Linked DNA regions of Oryctolagus cuniculus. The main gene of each other region encodes a partner of the protein of the gene in region 3 in a complex. Links are inferred from orthologs where the notes say so. Each region holds a gene or a part of one and is shown on either strand. Other genes may lie near its edges. The genes, in order: NELFA, NELFB and NELFCD.

Region 1 (5,317 bases), on a different chromosome or scaffold from region 3:
ACGGGTACCGCCGCGTCTCATCTCCTGTCCACACTCCAGGATCCCAAGCCCCCTGGGAAAAACCCCACGGCCAGCTCCGCTCCGCCTGATTCCAGCACGGCTGTGCGGGCTGAGGAGGGAGGGCGCCGCCCGGGACCGTGGGGCGCGCACGGTCTGCGCTGCCACTCCGTGTTCTGCGCCCTCGGCCAGCCTCCTGCCTGCAGAGCCTGCGGGCGGCCCGACTCCTGCATTCAGCCCAGAACCGCCTCTCCGTGCCTGTGTCCTGAATGAGAATCAGCCCGAGTCGCCACTCGTGAACCGGGGGTCCTGGGGGCTTACCGCAGAGCACCTCGGAGCTCCCCGTCCCTCCACGGTGAGACTGAAGCCCTGTCCCGAGGGCCCGCCTGCCCACGCGCAGCAGGTCAGCGCCAGCTCACTTCAGTACCCAAACGCTGGCGCCCCAGTGTTCTCCCGCGTGGGCTCTCCACGAGCTGCCGGATCCCTCAGATCGCCCCGACCCACAACACCGGCAGATGGGCCAGCGCCACTGCACCCCAGAACCACCTTCGCAGTCACCTCCCGCCGCGACAGAAAACGCGTGGCCGGCGCACGGACAAGGACAGCCAGGGCCCACCTGAGCCCGGGCGCTGACCTCCCAGACTCCTCGGGGGCGCAGCGGCGGAGGCCGGGACTGGCTCAGCGCGCACGGGCCACCCCGGCACACAGCTGACGACCAGGACTGCGGGGTCTCCAGGTCTGCTTGTCACACACGCCACCGAAAAAGGACCACTTCCATCACACTCACAACAAGCAAAGAACCGAGGGAAAACAGACCTGAAAAGCCAACTCACAAAAAAAACCGGCAACTAACGCTGCGGCGCAGTGGGATAAAGCCGCCGCCCGCAGGCACCCCATGCGGGCGCCGGTCCTGTCCCGCCTGCCCCTCTTCCAGGCCAGCCCTCTGCTGTGGCCCGGGAGTGCAGTGGAGGATGGCCCAGGTGCTTGGGCCCTGCACCCCATGGGAGACCAGGAGAAGCACCTGGCTCCTGGCTCCTGCCATCGGATCAGCGCGGTGCGCCGGCCGCGGCGGCCATCTGGGGAGTGAACCAGCGGATGAAGACCGCGCTCGCTCGCTCGCTCGCTCTCTGTACTCTTTCAAATATAGAAAATAAATCTTAAAAAAAAAAGGACCAAACAGCAAGCAAAAAGATGCTCACTCCTGAGTGACACGGCCGCCCCACGCCACAGCCACCCCTGACGTGCCACTGTCCGTGAAGCCACTGAGTGCCACGGCACCCCACGTCACAGCCGCTCCCGAGTGTCACGGCCACTCCACGTGGCCTGGCGGCACCTCCACACTCCAGGACATGGCCCAGCGACCCGGCACCCACCACTGCCACACGCACCGCACTGCGGGAACCGGGCCGGGGCGGGGGATGCGGCGGGGAGCAGCGGGACACGGGACACGGGGCGCCGCCCCCATCTGTGCACGCACAGGCAGGTGCTGCCGGGGTCCCGCGGGAAACAGGGCCGCCCCGCAGACCCACGAGCCCACATCGCCCGTGAAGACCCCCGCCCGCCCCCCCCCACAGACCCGAGCACAGGCCCACGAGCCCACACCACCCGTGAAGACCCCCGCCCGCTCCCCCCCCGCAGACCCGAGCGCAGGCCCACGAGCCCACACCGCCCGTGAAGACCCCCGCCCGCCCCCCCCCCGCAGACCCGAGCGCAGGCCCACGAGCCCACACCGCCCGTGAAGACCCCCGCCCGCCCTCCCCCGCAGACCCGAGCGCAGGCCCACGAGCCCACACCACCCGTGAAGACCCCCGCCCCCTCACCTTGGTGGAGGGAGGCGTGAGGGGGGTGTCAGGAGGGGCCACTCGCTGGGAAGATGGGGGTGCAGTCAGGAGCGGGGTAGGGGGAGACGCGAGGCTATGCGGGTGGGGGGAAGACCTGAGGGACCAGGAGAGGGGGGACGTGAGGGGGGGGGTATGTGAGGCGGGGGTATGTGAGAGGGGGACGTGAGGCGGGGGGGTATGTGAGGCGGGGGGCTGTGAGGGGGGACGTGAGGGGGGGATGAGGGGGTATGTGAGGGGGGTATGTGAGGGGGGTATGTGAGTGGGGACGTGAGGGGGGATGTGAGGGGGGCATGTGAGGGGGGGTATGTGAGGCGGGAGGCTGTGAGGGGGGTATGTGAGGGGGGCTGTGAGGGGGGCTGTGAGGGGGGTATGTGAGGGGGGACTGTGAGGGGGGACGTGAGGGGGACGTGAGGGGGGTATGTGAGGGGGTATGTGAGGGGGTATGTGAGGGGGGCTGTGAGGGGGGACGTGAGGCGGGGGGCTGTGAGGCGGGAGGCTGTGAGGGGGGTATGTGAGGGGGGTATGTGAGGGGGGACATGAGGGGGGCTGTGAGGGGGGCATGTGAGGGGGGTACGTGAGGGGGGACGTGAGGGGGGCATGTGAGGGGGGTACGTGAGGGGGGACGTGAGGGGGGCTGTGAGGGGGGTATGTGAGGGGGGTACGTGAGGGGGGACGTGAGGGGGTATGTGAGGGGGGCTGTGAGGGGGGATGTGAGGGGGGTATGTGAGGGGGGTATGTGAGGGGGGTATGTGAGGGGGGTATGTGAGTGGGGACGTGAGGGGGGTATGTGAGGGGGGATGTGAGGGGGGCATGTGAGGGGGGGTATGTGAGGCGGGAGGCTGTGAGGGGGGTATGTGAGGGGGGCATGTGAGGGGGGCTGTGAGGGGGGTATGTGAGGGGGGACTGTGAGGGGGGACGTGAGGGGGGTATGTGAGGGGGTATGTGAGGGGGGTATGTGAGTGGGGACGTGAGGGGGGCATGTGAGGGGGGATGTGAGGGGGGCTGTGAGGGGGTATGTGAGGGGGGCTGTGAGGGGGGACGTGAGGCGGGGGGCTGTGAGGGGGGACGTGAGGGGGGGATGAGGGGGTATGTGAGGGGGGCATGTGAGGGGGGCTGTGAGGGGGGACGTGAGGGGGGCTGTGAGGGGGGACGTGAGGGGGGTATGTGAGGGGGGTATGTGAGTGGGGACGTGAGAGGGGCATGTGAGGGGGGATGTGAGGGGGGTATGTGAGGGGGGTATGTGAGTGGGGACGTGAGGGGGGCATGTGAGGGGGGATGTGAGGGGGGCTGTGAGGGGGGAATGTGAGGGGGTATGTGAGGGGGTATGTGAGGGGGGCTGTGAGGGGGGACGTGAGGCGGGGGGCTGTGAGGGGGGACGTGAGGGGGGACGTGAGGGGGGTATGTGAGGGGGGACGTGAGGGGGACGTGAGGGGGGCTGTGGGGGGGACGTGAGGGGCGTTTGTCCGCAGCGCCGGGGGTGGGGAACCGAGGGCGGGGGTGGGGGAGGGCAGGCGCGAGGGCCGGGGCGGTACGAGGCGCGGGTCTGTCGGGAGGGCAGACGGCGGGCGTCGGGGCACGGCCGGGGCCGGCGCGCCGCCCGCTCACCTCGTCCACGGTGCGGCGCGGGAGGTGCAGGGTCCCGAGCAGCAGCTTGAGCTTCACGGCCGACGAGAGGCCGTGGAAGCACAGGCGGATGTTGTCGATGACGGCGGCCGTGAGCAGCGACGCGATGCTGGGCGGCGCCCACAGCTCATCCGTGGCCCCCAGCTTGTTGTGCAGCCACAGGCCCGTGTCGCTCTCCCGCATGGACGCCATCTTGGGGGAGCCCGCGCCGCCGCGCCGGCATCTTACGCAGACACCTGCGCGCCCCTGGCGAGGACCCCCAACATGGCGGCGCCCGTGGGCTCGCGCGATGACGTCAGGGGGCGGGGCCTCGAGCGAGGCACAGGCGGGCGGCCGCGGCGCAGACCTGACGTTTCCGTACCGCAGCATGGCGCCGGCCTCAGCACGGCGGCGGGAGATGACGTAGCAGCGGGCGCCGAGGAGCCGCCGTGGAATGCTCATTGCCGAGAGCGTTGCGACACGCACGGCGGCTGGTGGGAGGCGACAGCAGCTCTTGTCTGCAGCCGGCCCTTCGCTTTCTCCTCCCAGAGTGCCCGTGTGGTCCTCGCGGCCCCAGCTCGGAGCTGACCGCCGCCGCCCTGCCCCGCGCGTTTCCCCCCCCAGAGGGGAGAGAGGCCCGCCGTGTCCCCCCCCCAGAGGGGAGAGAGGCCCGCCGTGTCCCCCCCCAGAGGGGAGAGAGGCCCGCGCATGTCCCCCCAGAGGAAAGAGAGGCCCGCCGTGTCCCCCCCCCAGAGGGGAGAGAGGCCCGCCGTGTCCCCCCCCAGAGGGGAGAGAGGCCCGCCGTGTCCCCCCAGAGGGGAGAGAGGCCCGCCGTGTCCCCCCAGAGGGGAGAGAGGCCCGCGCGTGTCCCCCCCCCCAGAGGGGAGAGAGGCCCGCCGTGTCCCCCCAGAGGGGAGAGAGGCCCGCCGTGACCCCCCAGAGGGGAGAGAGGCCCGCGCGTGTCCCCCCAGAGGGGAGAGAGGCCCGCGCGTGTCCCCCCCCCCAGAGGGGAGAGAGGCCCGCCGTGTCCCCCCCCCCCCGAGGGGAGAGAGGCCCGCCGTGTCCCCCCCAGAGGGGAGAGAGGCCCGCCGTGTCCCCCCAGAGGGGAGAGAGGCCCCGAGTCCTCTGGGGCGGTTTGGGGAGACCGGGACTTGGCCTCGGCTCGCAGGGGCCGTCCGGAGGCTGCAGGAGGTTCTGGGCCCTCGGGCACCTGAGCGCCCACTGGCCCACTGACTCGTAGGAGGCACCTGTTGGACCCTGAGGCCTTTTATGAGTTGGTGGTTAAATGCAGACATCACTGAAGATCCCTTCATTTGATCACAGATCCTTAGGGGGAAGGTTTCACGTATTTGAGAGGCAGAGCTGGGGGTGGGGGAGACGGTCCATCCCCGGTCGCTGCCCGAATGGCTGCACGGCCAGGGCTGGGCCAGGCCGAAGCCGGGAGCGTCTTCCGGTCTCCCACGTGGGCGCACTGCCCGAGCCCTTGGGTCCTCCGCTGCCCTCCGGGGCGCTGGGTCGGCCGTGGAGCAGGTGGGGCTGGAACCGGCGCGTGTGACGGTGTCACGGCGGAATCGCGACCGTCCCACGGTAGATGTGGGAGTTCACAGGGGACGAGGTCGGAGCCTGTTACGGAGAAATGGCAGGGTTCCTGTCTTCGCGCAAGAAAGAATTCAGGTGTGAGACAGAGAGTAGTGGGAAGGAAATAGCAAGGTTTATTAGGGCAGGGACATCTGTAAGGACGGATGGGCACCTCTCCAGACAGGACCTGAGAGAGTGCACAATCGCTCGGACTGGGGGAGAGCGAGGTTACATGGCTGAGTGGAGGGATTCTACCTGGGCAGGCAGGCGGGCGGCTCAGCAGAGAGGCAGAGGGCTGA
Region 2 (5,444 bases), on a different chromosome or scaffold from region 3:
CCACACAGGCGCCGTTACCATCTTGGGCTCCTTGAAGACCTGGCTGTCGATCATGTCCCAGGCCCCCTGGCCCAGGGCCAGCAGCCTGAGCAGCAGCAGGAGGTCAGGGCTGTCCTGTGGACAAACAGGCCACAGCTGCGCTCAGCCGGCCACAGGGCCCCGCACGCGGCCCACGCCCGCAGTCCTGGCCCGGGCTGGGCTCACCCTGGGCAGCGTCTCCTGGCCGACCAGCTCCTGCAGGTGCCGAATAGTGCTGAGCGACAGCGTGTTGATGGCAAAGGGGTCACAGAGGATCATGGACAAGTCCCTGGAAGGAAGCCGCGTGCTGGGCTGGGACGCCGGGCCCCACCCCTGCCCCCGGGAAGGCGCCCGCGGTGTGGCCCGGGCGGGGCGCGGCCGCTCTCACCCCAGGACCTGTTCCTGGCCCTTCTTCACCCCGTCCAGGAAGCCCTGCAGCTCCCGCGCCCGCTTGCTGTCCACAAAGCGCTCCCGGATGCAGGCGTCCAGGCACCAGGTGAACTGCGGGAGGACGTGTACCAGCTCAGCGTGGCCAGACCCTCCCGCCCCCACCCGGCACAGCCACGGAACAAGGGCCAGAGCCGGAGCAGGGCACAGGCAGACGGACACGGGCCAGGGCCAGGGCCAGCAGGCAGCAGAGGCACAGGCTGCCCGTCTGTGCGTCAGCTACACAGGTTCACAGAGGAAACACACAGAGGCCCGCCCCCAGCGTCCCCAGGGCACCACTGTGAGGACAGAAGGCTCCTGAGAGCCTCCATGGTGTCCCCTGTCTGGAGGGGGCGTGGCCACAGCAGTGACAAGTGGCCACAGGTGACCCAAGACCCAGGGAGCAGTCTTCAGCTGCAACAGCCACGGAAAACGAGGGAGAGGAGGGTCCAGCTCGGAGCCCCGCGCCAGGTGCCCCGCGTCACCAGCAGCAGGCCCCTGGGCTCGGGGGGGGCAGGGCCAGCACCACCGGGCTGCAGGGACAGGGGACAGCTGGGCCTGGGCGCGGCGGGGCTGCTTCCTCCACCCTACCAGGGACAGAGCTCGAGGTGGGCGTGGAGGCCGACCTTGTGGCAGGGGTCCACGGTGCAGATGTCGCCGACGTCCAGGTCGTGCAGGGACATGAGCAGCTCGGCGCGCAGGGTGCAGTAGTGCACGTTGCGCGTGCGCAGGAAGAGCGTGCGCAGGAACTGCAGCACCATGTCGTACAGCTTCACGCTGCGGCCCACCATGCGCGTCAGCGCCTGCACCACCTGCAGCACACAGCGTCAGCGCCGCCAGCCCCGGGCCGGCTCCCAGCCAGCGCCACCCGGGCCTGGCTCCGGCCACCGCCAACCCCGGGCCGGCTCCCAGCCACCGCCAACCCCGGGCCGGCTCCCAGCCAGCGCCAACCCCGGGCCGGCTCCGGCCACCGCCAACCCCGGGCCGGCTCCCAGCCACCGCCAACCCCGGGCCGGCTCCCAGCCACCGCCAACCCCGGGCCGGCTCCCAGCCAGCGCCAACCCCGGGCCGGCTCCCAGCCAGCGCCAACCCCGGGCCGGCTCCCAGCCAGCGCCAACCCCGGGCCGGCTCCGGCCACCGCCAACCCCGGGCCGGCTCCCAGCCAGCGCCAACCCCGGGCCGGCTCCCAGCCAGCGCCAACCCCGGGCCGGCTCCCAGCCAGCGCCAACCCCGGGCCGGCTCCGGCCACCGCCAACCCCGGGCCGGCTCCCAGCCAGCGCCACCCGGGCCGCGCCCGCACACCTCGCCCACGCGCCGCGCAGGCCCGGCAGCCTCCCGCCCCCGCCCGCACACCTCGCCCTGGCGCCGCGTCTTGGGCGACGGGCTGAAGAAGTTGTGCAGCACCGACAGCCCGGTGCTGAAGAGCGCGCTCTCCTTCTCCAGGATGTACTGCTTGAGCAGTGGCGACACCTCGTCCCCGAACAGCGCCTGGTTGTCCTGCCAGATCTGCCGCTTCACCTCCACGGCGCACGCGCGGTACAGCTCCTTGTCGGCCATCACCAGCTTCAGCTTCTTCTCCGGCACCTGCGCGCGAGGGGGGGGGGGCGTCAGCGGCGGGGCGGCCGCGCGCGCCCCCGGCCCCCGCCCCCCGCCCCCCTGCCCCGGCCGCCCCGCCGCTGACGCCCCCGCCCCGCCCCCGCCCCCGCCCCCGGCCGCGCGCGCCCCCGGCCCCGCCCCCGCGCGCCCCTGGCCGACCCCGCCCCCGGCCGCGCGCCCCCGCCCCCGGCCCCGGCCCGCCCCGGCCGCCCGCGCACCTTGGGCAGGTGCTTCATGACGCACATCACCACCGGCTGCAGCGACGGCATCTTCACCAGCGAGAAGCTCTTCTCCAAAAGGTCCTCCAGCTTCTTGTACCTGCGGCGGCGCGCGCTGAGCCCCCCCGCGGGGCGGGGCGGACACCGCACAAGCTGCGGGGCGACCGCCCTGGGCCGGCCCCCGGCCCGCGCCCCCCGCCCCCGCGCCTGCAGCCTCCCCGGCCCCTGCCCCACTGCCTGCCTGCAGCCCCCGGCCCCCGCCCGCGCCCACGGCCACGCGCCTGCAGCCTCCCCGGCCCCTGCCCCACTGCCTGCCTGCAGCCCCCGGCCCCCCGCCCGCGCCCCCGGCCCACGCGCCTGCAGCCACCCCAGCCCCTGCCCCACTACCTGCCTGCAGCCCCCGGCCCACGCGCCTGCAGCCACCCCAGCCCCTGCCCCACTGCCTGCCTGCAGCCCCCGGCCCACGCGCCTGCAGCCTCCCGGGCCCCTGCCACCCACTGCCTTCCTGCAGCCCCCGGCTCACGCGCCTGCAGCCACCCCAGCCCCTGCCCCACTACCTTCCTGCAGCCCCCGGCCCACGCGCCTGCAGCCTCCCGGGCCCCTGCCACCCACTGCCTTCCTGCAGCCCCCCGCCCACGCGCCTGCAGCCTCCCGGGCCCCTGCCACCCACTGCCTTCCTGCAGCCCCCCGCCCACGCGCCTGCAGCCTGGGGAGCCCCTGCCCCACTACCTGCCTGCGGCCCCCAGCCCGCGCCCCCGGCCCACGCGCCTGCAGCCTCCCCAGCCCCTGCCCCACTGCCTGCCTGCAGCCCGCGCCCGCGCCCACCTCTCCTCCGCCTTCCCCTCCGACGCGATGGCCGACACCCGCTCCAGCAGCTTGTCCCGCAGCTCGTCGAACACCGACTGGTGGAACTCCAGGCGCGGGGTCCCGTGCAGGTCCAGGAACGGGAGCGCCGACTGCAGCGAGGGCAGCAGCACGCCGTTCTCCGTCTGCGGGGCCGGGGGTCAGCGCGGGGGCCCGAGGCGGGGGTCCGCCCGCCGCCCCGGCCCCCGCCCGCGTGCCCGGCCGCACCTGGAACTGCTCGATGGCCTTGAGCGGCTCGGTGCAGTTGGTCAGCGTCTCCTTCAGGTCCTCGCCGTTGGCCACGCCCAGGTCCTGCAGCCCCGCGAACATGGCCGAGGCCCCGACCCCCGGCCGGCTCGGCGCCCCATCCCCGCCGCGCTCCGCCGGGGCCGCCGCGGGCGCCCCGGAAGCCCGCTCCCCGGGGCCTCGGGGGCCGCCCGAGCTGCGCTCCCCCGCGGCCTCCAGCTCGCCCAGGTCCCGCTCGCGGCGCGACTCTGCACCGGCCCGCGGCCGCCCACTTCCGCCCCGCACGGCCCTGGTCCGCCACCCAAAGCGCTCCCGGGAAACGCCGCCGCGGCCGCGCACGGGTTCCTGGGAGCGCCGCCCTCGGCCTGCGCGGGGGGCGGAGCCGGAGGACGCGCGAGCCGTGGGCGCGGCCCCGGCCCCGCCCACCGCACGCGGCCCCGCCCCTGCCCGGCCTCGCCCGCCGCACGCGGCCCCGCCCCGGCGCCCGGCCCCGCCCCCTCCGCGCTTCGCGTTCCGGGAGCTGGCGTTGGAGCGCCTTTCACTGCGGTGCTGCTGACCTCCCCGCAGCCTTGCCTACGCGAGCGTGCGTGGTCGAGGAGGGTGCGCGCTGCGTGCGTGCCTCCCACGGGGCGGGGCGGAGACCCGCGCGCGCTGCGGGAGCGACCCGCCGTGGTTGTCCGCGGCGGCCGGCCCACGCACCTGCAGCCACCCCAGCCCCTGCCACGCACTGCCTGCCTGCTGCCCCTCCTCCCGCACGCCCCGCGTCCCCGCCGCGCGCCGGGAGGGGCACAAGGCACAGCGCGGAGCCGGGGAACAGTACGTCTGTAATGGGGGCGCGGGCTGCCCTCGGCCACGCGGGGCCCTAGAGCGCGCAGAAGGGGCCGGTGTCGTGGCGCTTGGGTCTCCGCACGCCCTGGATGAGCGCGCCGGGCGCCGAGCGGAAGCGCGAGTCGCGAGCCCGCTCCGTGCGGTAGGCGCCGGGGCCGGGGACGCCGGCTGCGGAGAGAGGGCAAGGAGGCGCCCCGCGGACCTCAGCGCTGCGCCGCCCGGGCCCGCCGCCCAGCCCCGCCGCGCCCCGCGCCTTACCCGGGCCGGCCCGCGAGGCGGGGGCGCGCGCGCTGCGCATGGAGAAGGCGGGGGCGCGCGGGCTGCGCAGACGGTCCCCGGGGACGACGTCGTAGGTGCCGGGGTCCGGGCGCTTCTCGCCGCGAGCCCGCGCCAGAGCCTGCACCAGCGGCTGCGCCCGCGGCGGCGCGGGGCGGGCCTGGCCCTCGGGGGCCATGGCGGCGGGAAGGGGGACCCTGGCGCTGCAGGAGCGGGCGGCGGGGCCGCTGAGCGGCCGGTAGTGCGCGGGCGACGGCCACTGCGGGAGGCGGAACGCGGCTGAGGCGTGCTCCGCGCTCACGCCGCCCAGCCCCCGCGTCCCGCACCCCGCGGGCCGGCCGCACCTTGAGCTCGCGGTTGAAGTCCACCTTGTGCGTGAAGGGGCTTTCGCTCCGCAGCCACTCGGTCTGCCAGGCCCTGCGGCCGCCGCCCTCTGCGGGGGAGGGGGGCAGGGGAAGGGGCGGAGGTGGCATAGCCTGGGGTCTCCGGGCCGGGCGGGGCGGGGCGGGGCGGGGCTGGCGGCGGGGATGCACCTGGGCCGGGGTGCCTGCGTCCCAGGCTGTAGTGCGGGTGTGCGGAGCTCTCTCGCGCGGACGCGCTGGGCACCTGGTACTTGGCGGGGCCGGGCACCTCCGGGTCGGTGAGCAGCGGGGGGCGTCGCTCCAGCACTGGCCGAAGGAAGCAGCTCGGGACTGGGGCTGCCCACCAGACCCCTCCTCCCCTCGCCCCCCGATCGCCTGCGGGAGCCGAGACCCCCGCTGCACTCACACAGCTTCCTCAGGGTGGCCGCACAGGCAGTGTCCACCCCTGAGCCCAGGGCAGCCGGGACTGCCTGCTTCTGCGAGGGCCACGCCTCCTCCCAGGCCGCCCCGGGCCGCGGGCCCAGCCACAGCACCGCTGACTGGGACCTGCAAGGGAGACGGGCAGCCGCTGGCCACCCGGCCTGCCGGCGACCCTCCCAGGCCGCCCCGCCTGCCGCCCGCGGAGGTTACT
Region 3 (5,581 bases):
GGACCTGGGCTAACTCACACCCACACCCCCCTACCTGGACCTTAGCTAACTCACACCCACGCCCCCCTACCTGGACCTGAGCGAACTTACACCCACGCCCCCCTACCTGGACCTGGGCTAACTCACACCCACGCCCCCCTACCTGGAGCTGAGCCAACTCACACCCACGCCCCCCTACCTGGACCTGGGCCAACTCACACCCACGCCCCCCTACCTGGAGCTGAGTCAACTCACACCCACGTCCCCCTACCTGGAGCTGAGCTAACTCACACCCACGCCCCCCTACCTGGGCCTGAGCTAACTCACACCCACGCCCCCCTACCTGGACCTGGGCTAACTCACACCCACGCCCCCCTACCTGGACCTGGGCCAACTCACACCCACGCCCCCCCTACCTGGACCTGGGCCACCTCACACCCACGCCCCCCCTACCTGGACCTGGGCCACCTCACACCCACGCCCCCCTACCTGGACCTGGGCCAACTCACACCCACGCCCCCCTACCTGGACCTGGGCCAACTCACACCCACGCCCCCCTACCTGGACCTGGGCTAACTCACACCCACGCCCCCCTACCTGGACCTGAGCGAACTCATACCCACGCCCCCCTACCTGGACCTGGGCTAACTCACACCCACGCCCCCCTACCTGGACCTGAGCTAACTCACACCCACGCCCCCCTACCTGGACCTGGGCTAACTCACACCCACGCCCCCCTACCTGGACCTGGGCCAACTCACACCCACGCCCCCCTACCTGGACCTGGGCCAACTCACACCCACGTCCCCCTACCTGGAGCTGAGCTAACTCACACCCACGCCCCCCTACCTGGAGCTGAGCTAACTCACACCCACGCCCCCCTACCTGGACCTGGGCTAACTCACACCCACGCCCCCCTACCTGGACCTGGGCTAACTCACACCCACGCCCCCCTACCTGGACCTGGGCCAACTCACACCCACGCCCCCCTACCTGGACCTGGGCCAACTCACACCCACGTCCCCCTACCTGGAGCTGAGCTAACTCACACCCATGCCCCCCTACCTGGAGCTGAGTCAACTCACACCCACACCCCCCTACCTGGAGCTGAGCCAACTCACACCCACGCCCCCCTACCTGGACCTGGGCTAACTCACACCCACGCCCCGCTACCTGGCCCTCTGAGCCGTCAGCAGTGTGACGGAGTGACGATGGAGACAAGGGACAGGGTTTGGATCCCACTCCTTCCTTCCCCAGCTGTGTGACCCTGCACAGGTCCCGAGGCCATGACCTCTCACCTCTGCATTTGTAAGGTGAGATCTGGGGCGTGCGGGAGGACGATGCATCAAAGCCCCCAGCCCCTGCTCTCCATGAGCTCCCTCTGACCCAACCTGCTCCACTCCAAGCCCCAGACGCTGTGGAGGAACACAACGTCCGACCCGCTCTCGTCACTCCCGGTCCGGAACGCCGGGATGAGCCCCACTGGACAGGGCTCTGTAAAGCCCTCCAGGACCCGCCCCGCAGCCCTCACCACCACCGCTCCGCCACGGCCAGCCAAGCACCAAGGGACTTCGGGCCGAGTTCTCCCTGCCTCTTCCCACTCAGCGCTGGGCCGCTGCTTGCCACCACCCTGCTGTCCCAGAAGTAAACCCACTTCATCCCCTCCAAGCACCAGTTCTGCAGATCCCACGCACACAGCGGCTCCACAAAGTCTGCAGCAAACGGAACGCCAGGGTTAGGTTTCTTTTGGTGCGAGCCGTTCTGGAAATTCATGTACTCGAGGTCTTCAGAAAGTTAGAGGGGCCAGGGTGTGGCACGGCAGGCTAGGCCGGCCTCCCACGCTGAGGGCAGGCGAAGGCCAGCTGCTCTGCTTCTACAGAACGTCAGCCCCAAGCTAGCGCCTGGGAGGCAGCAGGTGACGGCCCAAACACTGGGCCCTTGCTACCATGTGGGGGACCTGCACAGACAGCCTGCCTCCTGGCTTCGTTGTAGTTGTCTGGGGAGTGAACCAGCGGATGGAAGACCCCTCTCCCTCTGTGTGTGTCACTGGTCTTTCAAATAAATAATCTTTTTTTTAAGATTTATTTATTTATTTGAAAGTCTGAGTTACAGAGAGAGAGAGAGAGAGAGAGAGAGAGGTCTTCCATCCGCTGGTTCACTCCCCAGATGGCCACAATGGCCGAAGCTGTGACGATTCGAAGCCAAAGTCCAGGAGCTTCTTCGGGGTCTCCCATTTAGGGCAGGGGCCCAGGACGCGGGCATCCTCCACTGCTTTCCCAGGCCACAGCAGAGAGCTGATCAGAAGTGGAGCAGCCGGGACGGCGCCAGCCCAATAATCTTTTTCAGAAACAAAGGCTGTGGCACAGCAGGTTAAGCCAGGGTCTGCAGTGCCGGGTTGGAGTCCCGGCTGCTCCACTTCCGATCCAGCTCCCTGCTAATGCACCTGGGAAAGCAGCGGAAGACGGGCCAGGTGCTTGGGCCCTGCACCCGCCTGGGAGACCTGGTGGAGCTCCTGGCTCCTGGCTTCCGCCTGGCCCAGCTCTGGCCATTGCAGCCATTACAGCCATGTGGGGAGTGAACCAGCGGATGGATCTCTCTCTCTCTCAACTCCGACTCTCAAATAAGCAGATTCCTAAAAAAAAAAAAAAAGGCTCTTGACAAGCATTATGGAAAGCTGTTGGGTGACCCCACATTTATTTCTGCAGCACAATAAACTGATCTTGGAACTCCATCTTCCACGAACGCGCGTCCAGCAGGCCTGGGAGGGGTCTGAGGCCCCCGCCGGGGAGGGGGCGGCCGCCCTCGCACCCCGGCCCCGGGCGGGCAAGGCCAGAGTCCTCTCGGTCAGCCCGAAGAGCCGACGCGGGGCTGGGTCGCGGATCACCGACACACAGGACGGAAAGCCCCAGTCCCGCCTTGGACTCGTGACGCTGGCCGGCGGTCCGCAGCTTTATTTCTGATAAAAACGCGAGCCTCCGGGCCCGACCCCCGCACGTCGGCGTTTCGGGGCCGCCAGCCCCGGAGCCCGCCCGGCCCCGCGCGCCCCCCACGGCAGGAAGCCGCGGCGCCGGGCCGGCCCCGGGTCCCCCACCCGGCGTCCAGCGAGCGAGGGGCGGAGGCCCGCGGCCGGCGGCGGGGCGGGCGGGGCCGGTGGCGACGCGCGCGGCTCGGACACCGCGGCCGCGCGGCCGGGCGCGCGCACTCCCCGCACGCGCGGGCGCGGCGGCGGCGCAGACGCACGACCCTCGTCGGGGGCGCCCGGGGCCCCGCCTCACCTGGCCGCCGTCCGCCTCGTCGCCCCACTCGGCAGCACTCCCGAAGTAGTCCTCGTCCATGATGGCGCCCGGCCCGGCCCCCGCCATGCTCTCCCGCGAGCCAGCGCGGCGCCGGCGCCTGCGCGCACGCGCGGCCCCGGCCCCGCCCCCGCGGCCGCGCGCCTGGGCCCGGGCGGGGGCGGGGCCTCGGCGGGGGCGGGGCCTGGCCGGCGTGCGCGCCCGGGGCCGAGCGGCCGCCGGGGGTCGGTCCAGGAACCCTGCCTGGACCGGGCCTGGAGGCCTTGACTGCGGCTGGAAGTTTCCAGCTGGCCCCTGGGCTCCGCCTCAGCTCGCGGTCCCGGGAGCACCCGTTTCCTCGTCGGGCAGCTGGGCCCCAAAGTGAATTACTCTAATCGTTGGCTAAGAGTCCTCAAATGCAATTGATGTGACGACCGCTTGTCCACTCCCCAGGTGCTGATGACAGCCGGGGCTGGGCCCAGGCGGCGGGAGCTGGAGCTCCATCCAGGCCTCCCAGTGCTGGAGCGGTGACCGCTGCCTCCGGGGGTCTTCCCTGGCGGGAAGCCGGGGTCAGCACCGGGAGCCGGCTCACCGTGCTGATCCGAAGGCAGGAGCCAGGTGCTTCTCCTGGTCTCCCCTGGGGTGCAGGGCCCAAGCACTTGGGCCATCCTCCACTGCACTCCCGGGCCACAGCAGAGAGCTGGCCTGGAAGAGGGGCAACCAGGACAGAATCCGGCGCCCCGACCGGGACTAGAACCGGGTGTGCCAGTGCCACAGGCGGAGGATTAGCCTAGTGAGCCGCGGCGCCAGCCAACCCATTTTCCATAGTTAGGAGACGTCGCAGAAGGCTGAGGAGGTGGGACTGCAGGTGGGCTGAGAAGGGGCTGGGGGCTGCTGTGGATTTGGGGTACAGCAGCCGGGGTGGGGAGCAAGGCGCAGGGCAGGGAAGATGCTGTTGCTACTCACCCTCGTGCCTCGGGGCGGCTGCCGTGGAGACGGGGGGTGGGGCAGCTTCTGGAAGGGATGAGAACAAGTTCCCACTGGGATGTGCTGGACCAGGGGTGCCAGCAGAGTGCTCCATGGCGAGGTCTTGCAGGCTGTTGGAGGTGGGAAGCGGCAGGTCCATATTCGGTGCATCTGGTGCCCATATGGGATGCCAGCACTGCAGGCGGCGGCTTTACCTGCTGCACTGGGGCGCCAGCCCTGGCTCTGTAGTTCTTGCCTCTTAGATCTTGATATCCTGATGTCCTGTTTTTGTTTTTGTTGTTTTTTTTTTTTAAGATTTATTTATTTATTTGAAAGAGTTACATGGCAGGGGGAGGTTCCATCTGCTGACACCACCACCCCCAGTTGGGTGCAAAGGCAGGAGCCAGGAGCTTCTCCTGGGACTCCCATGTGGGTGCAGGGCCCAAGGACTTGGGCCATCTTCTACTGCTTTCCCAGGCCACAGCAGAGAGCTGGATCAGAAGTGGAGCAGCCAGGACATGAACTGGTGCCCATATGGGATGCGGGCACTGCAGGCCGTGGTTCCCCCCCATAGCCCCGGCCCCACAAAGACACATTTAACATTAAGTACAGAAATAAGGGAGAACAAAATAAAAAACAAGTAGCAAGATGACAGCATGAACCCAGCCAGGAATTCCATTGAATGTGAACAGACTCTCAAAGGGCAGAGAGCGCCAGGCTGGGTGAAAAAGCAGCAATATGCTGTCTGTAACAGACACATCAGCGACGCAGAGGCACAAGTACATTGAAAGCAGAAGAGAACAGATGGCCATGCACGTAGCAACCCTGAGAGCCGGAGCTTCCACAGTCGTCTTAGACCAAACAGAGCCGAAGACTTGGAGACCTCGGAATGGCAAAGGTTGGGTACACAAGTTAGGCATAATTAAGAATGTGTATTCTGGCCAGCGCCGAGGCTCACCAGGCTAATCCTCCGCCTGCGGCGCCGGCACCCTGAGTTCTAGTCCCGGTCGGGCGCCGGATTCTGTCCCAGTTGCTCCTCTTCCTCAGTTCTGAGGCTGAGCCCTGCTCCCCTGGTCTGAGGCCACAGGAGGCACCTATGGCTGTGAACTACACCTCCCGACTTGGGGGCAGCCGGGGCAGAGGTGACACAGAGACAGCAGAGATGTGGGGAGCCCAGAGCAGGTGGCCCCGTCTGCTTGTGTGTTTTAAAGATTGGGCCCTGCACCCCATGGGAGACCAGGAGGAAGCACCTGGCTCCTGGCTTCGGATCAGCACGGTGCTCTGGCTGCAGCGCACCTGCCGGAGCGGCCATTGGAGGCAGTGAACCAACGGCAAAGGAAGACCTTTCTCTCTGTCTCTCTCTC

Evidence for each region.
Region 1: the proteins of NELFCD (region 3) and NELFA are in contact, whole or in part, in a crystal structure (PDB 5L3X), measured with the Homo sapiens proteins. The link is inferred for Oryctolagus cuniculus from reciprocal best matches to the Homo sapiens genes NELFCD and NELFA. Residues at the interface, in XP_047296144.1 of Homo sapiens: Cys204, Gln205, Gln206, Leu207, Glu208, Phe210, Ser211, Leu214, Arg215, Leu218, Ala219, Ile221, Leu222, Asp223, Gly225, Glu226, Cys241, His242, Gly243, Glu244, His245, Thr246, Tyr247, Leu248, Phe249, Ala252, Met253, Ser255, Val256, Leu257; in NP_005654.4 of Homo sapiens: Leu23, Trp24, Ala25, Leu54, Leu58, Leu61, His62, Arg65, Pro88, Trp89, Met92, Val93, Ile96, Leu97, Phe100, Gly104, Ser105, Leu106, Leu108, Leu110, Asn116, Val117, Asp119, Ile120, Leu121, Glu123, Leu124, Arg125, Lys127, Val128.
Region 2: the proteins of NELFCD (region 3) and NELFB are in contact, whole or in part, in a crystal structure (PDB 8JJ6), measured with the Homo sapiens proteins. The link is inferred for Oryctolagus cuniculus from reciprocal best matches to the Homo sapiens genes NELFCD and NELFB. Residues at the interface, in XP_047296144.1 of Homo sapiens: Arg63, Ile66, Met67, Glu68, Pro69, Ile71, Phe72, Leu75, Ile89, Gln90, Leu92, Ser93, Tyr96, Thr97, Ala98, Val99, Ala100, Gln101, Thr102, Val103, Asn104, Leu105, Leu106, Trp109, Leu110, Gln112, Thr113, Gly114, Val115, Gln121; in NP_056271.3 of Homo sapiens: Met49, Leu53, Leu56, Val58, Ala59, Asn60, Gly61, Leu64, Lys65, Leu68, Thr69, Leu75, Ile78, Glu79, Phe81, Gln82, Glu84, Asn85, Gly86, Val87, Leu88, Leu89, Ser91, Leu92, Ser94, Ala95, Leu96, Pro97, Phe98, Leu99.

The regions. Positions count from the first base shown.
Region 1 is NC_091433.1:830,415-835,731, forward strand, and holds the start of NELFA (negative elongation factor A), read right to left. Parts: upstream 3,749-5,317; 5' UTR 3,654-3,748; coding exon 3,444-3,653; intron 1-3,443. UniProt on the Homo sapiens protein: Essential component of the NELF complex, a complex that negatively regulates the elongation of transcription by RNA polymerase II.
Region 2 is NC_091432.1:237,523,428-237,528,871, reverse strand, and holds the start of NELFB (negative elongation factor B), read right to left. Parts: upstream 3,703-5,444; 5' UTR 3,432-3,702; coding exon 3,330-3,431; intron 3,248-3,329; coding exon 3,084-3,247; intron 2,359-3,083; coding exon 2,259-2,358; intron 2,029-2,258; coding exon 1,798-2,028; intron 1,257-1,797; coding exon 1,071-1,256; intron 520-1,070; coding exon 407-519; intron 308-406; coding exon 205-307; intron 115-204; coding exon 19-114; intron 1-18. Other genes in the region: protein STPG3, read right to left, coding at 4,210-4,343, 4,434-4,710, 4,796-4,884, 4,985-5,119, 5,220-5,359. UniProt on the Homo sapiens protein: Essential component of the NELF complex, a complex that negatively regulates the elongation of transcription by RNA polymerase II.
Region 3 is NC_091442.1:3,319,726-3,325,306, forward strand, and holds the start of NELFCD (negative elongation factor C/D), read right to left. Parts: upstream 3,402-5,581; 5' UTR 3,342-3,401; coding exon 3,255-3,341; intron 1-3,254. UniProt on the Homo sapiens protein: Essential component of the NELF complex, a complex that negatively regulates the elongation of transcription by RNA polymerase II.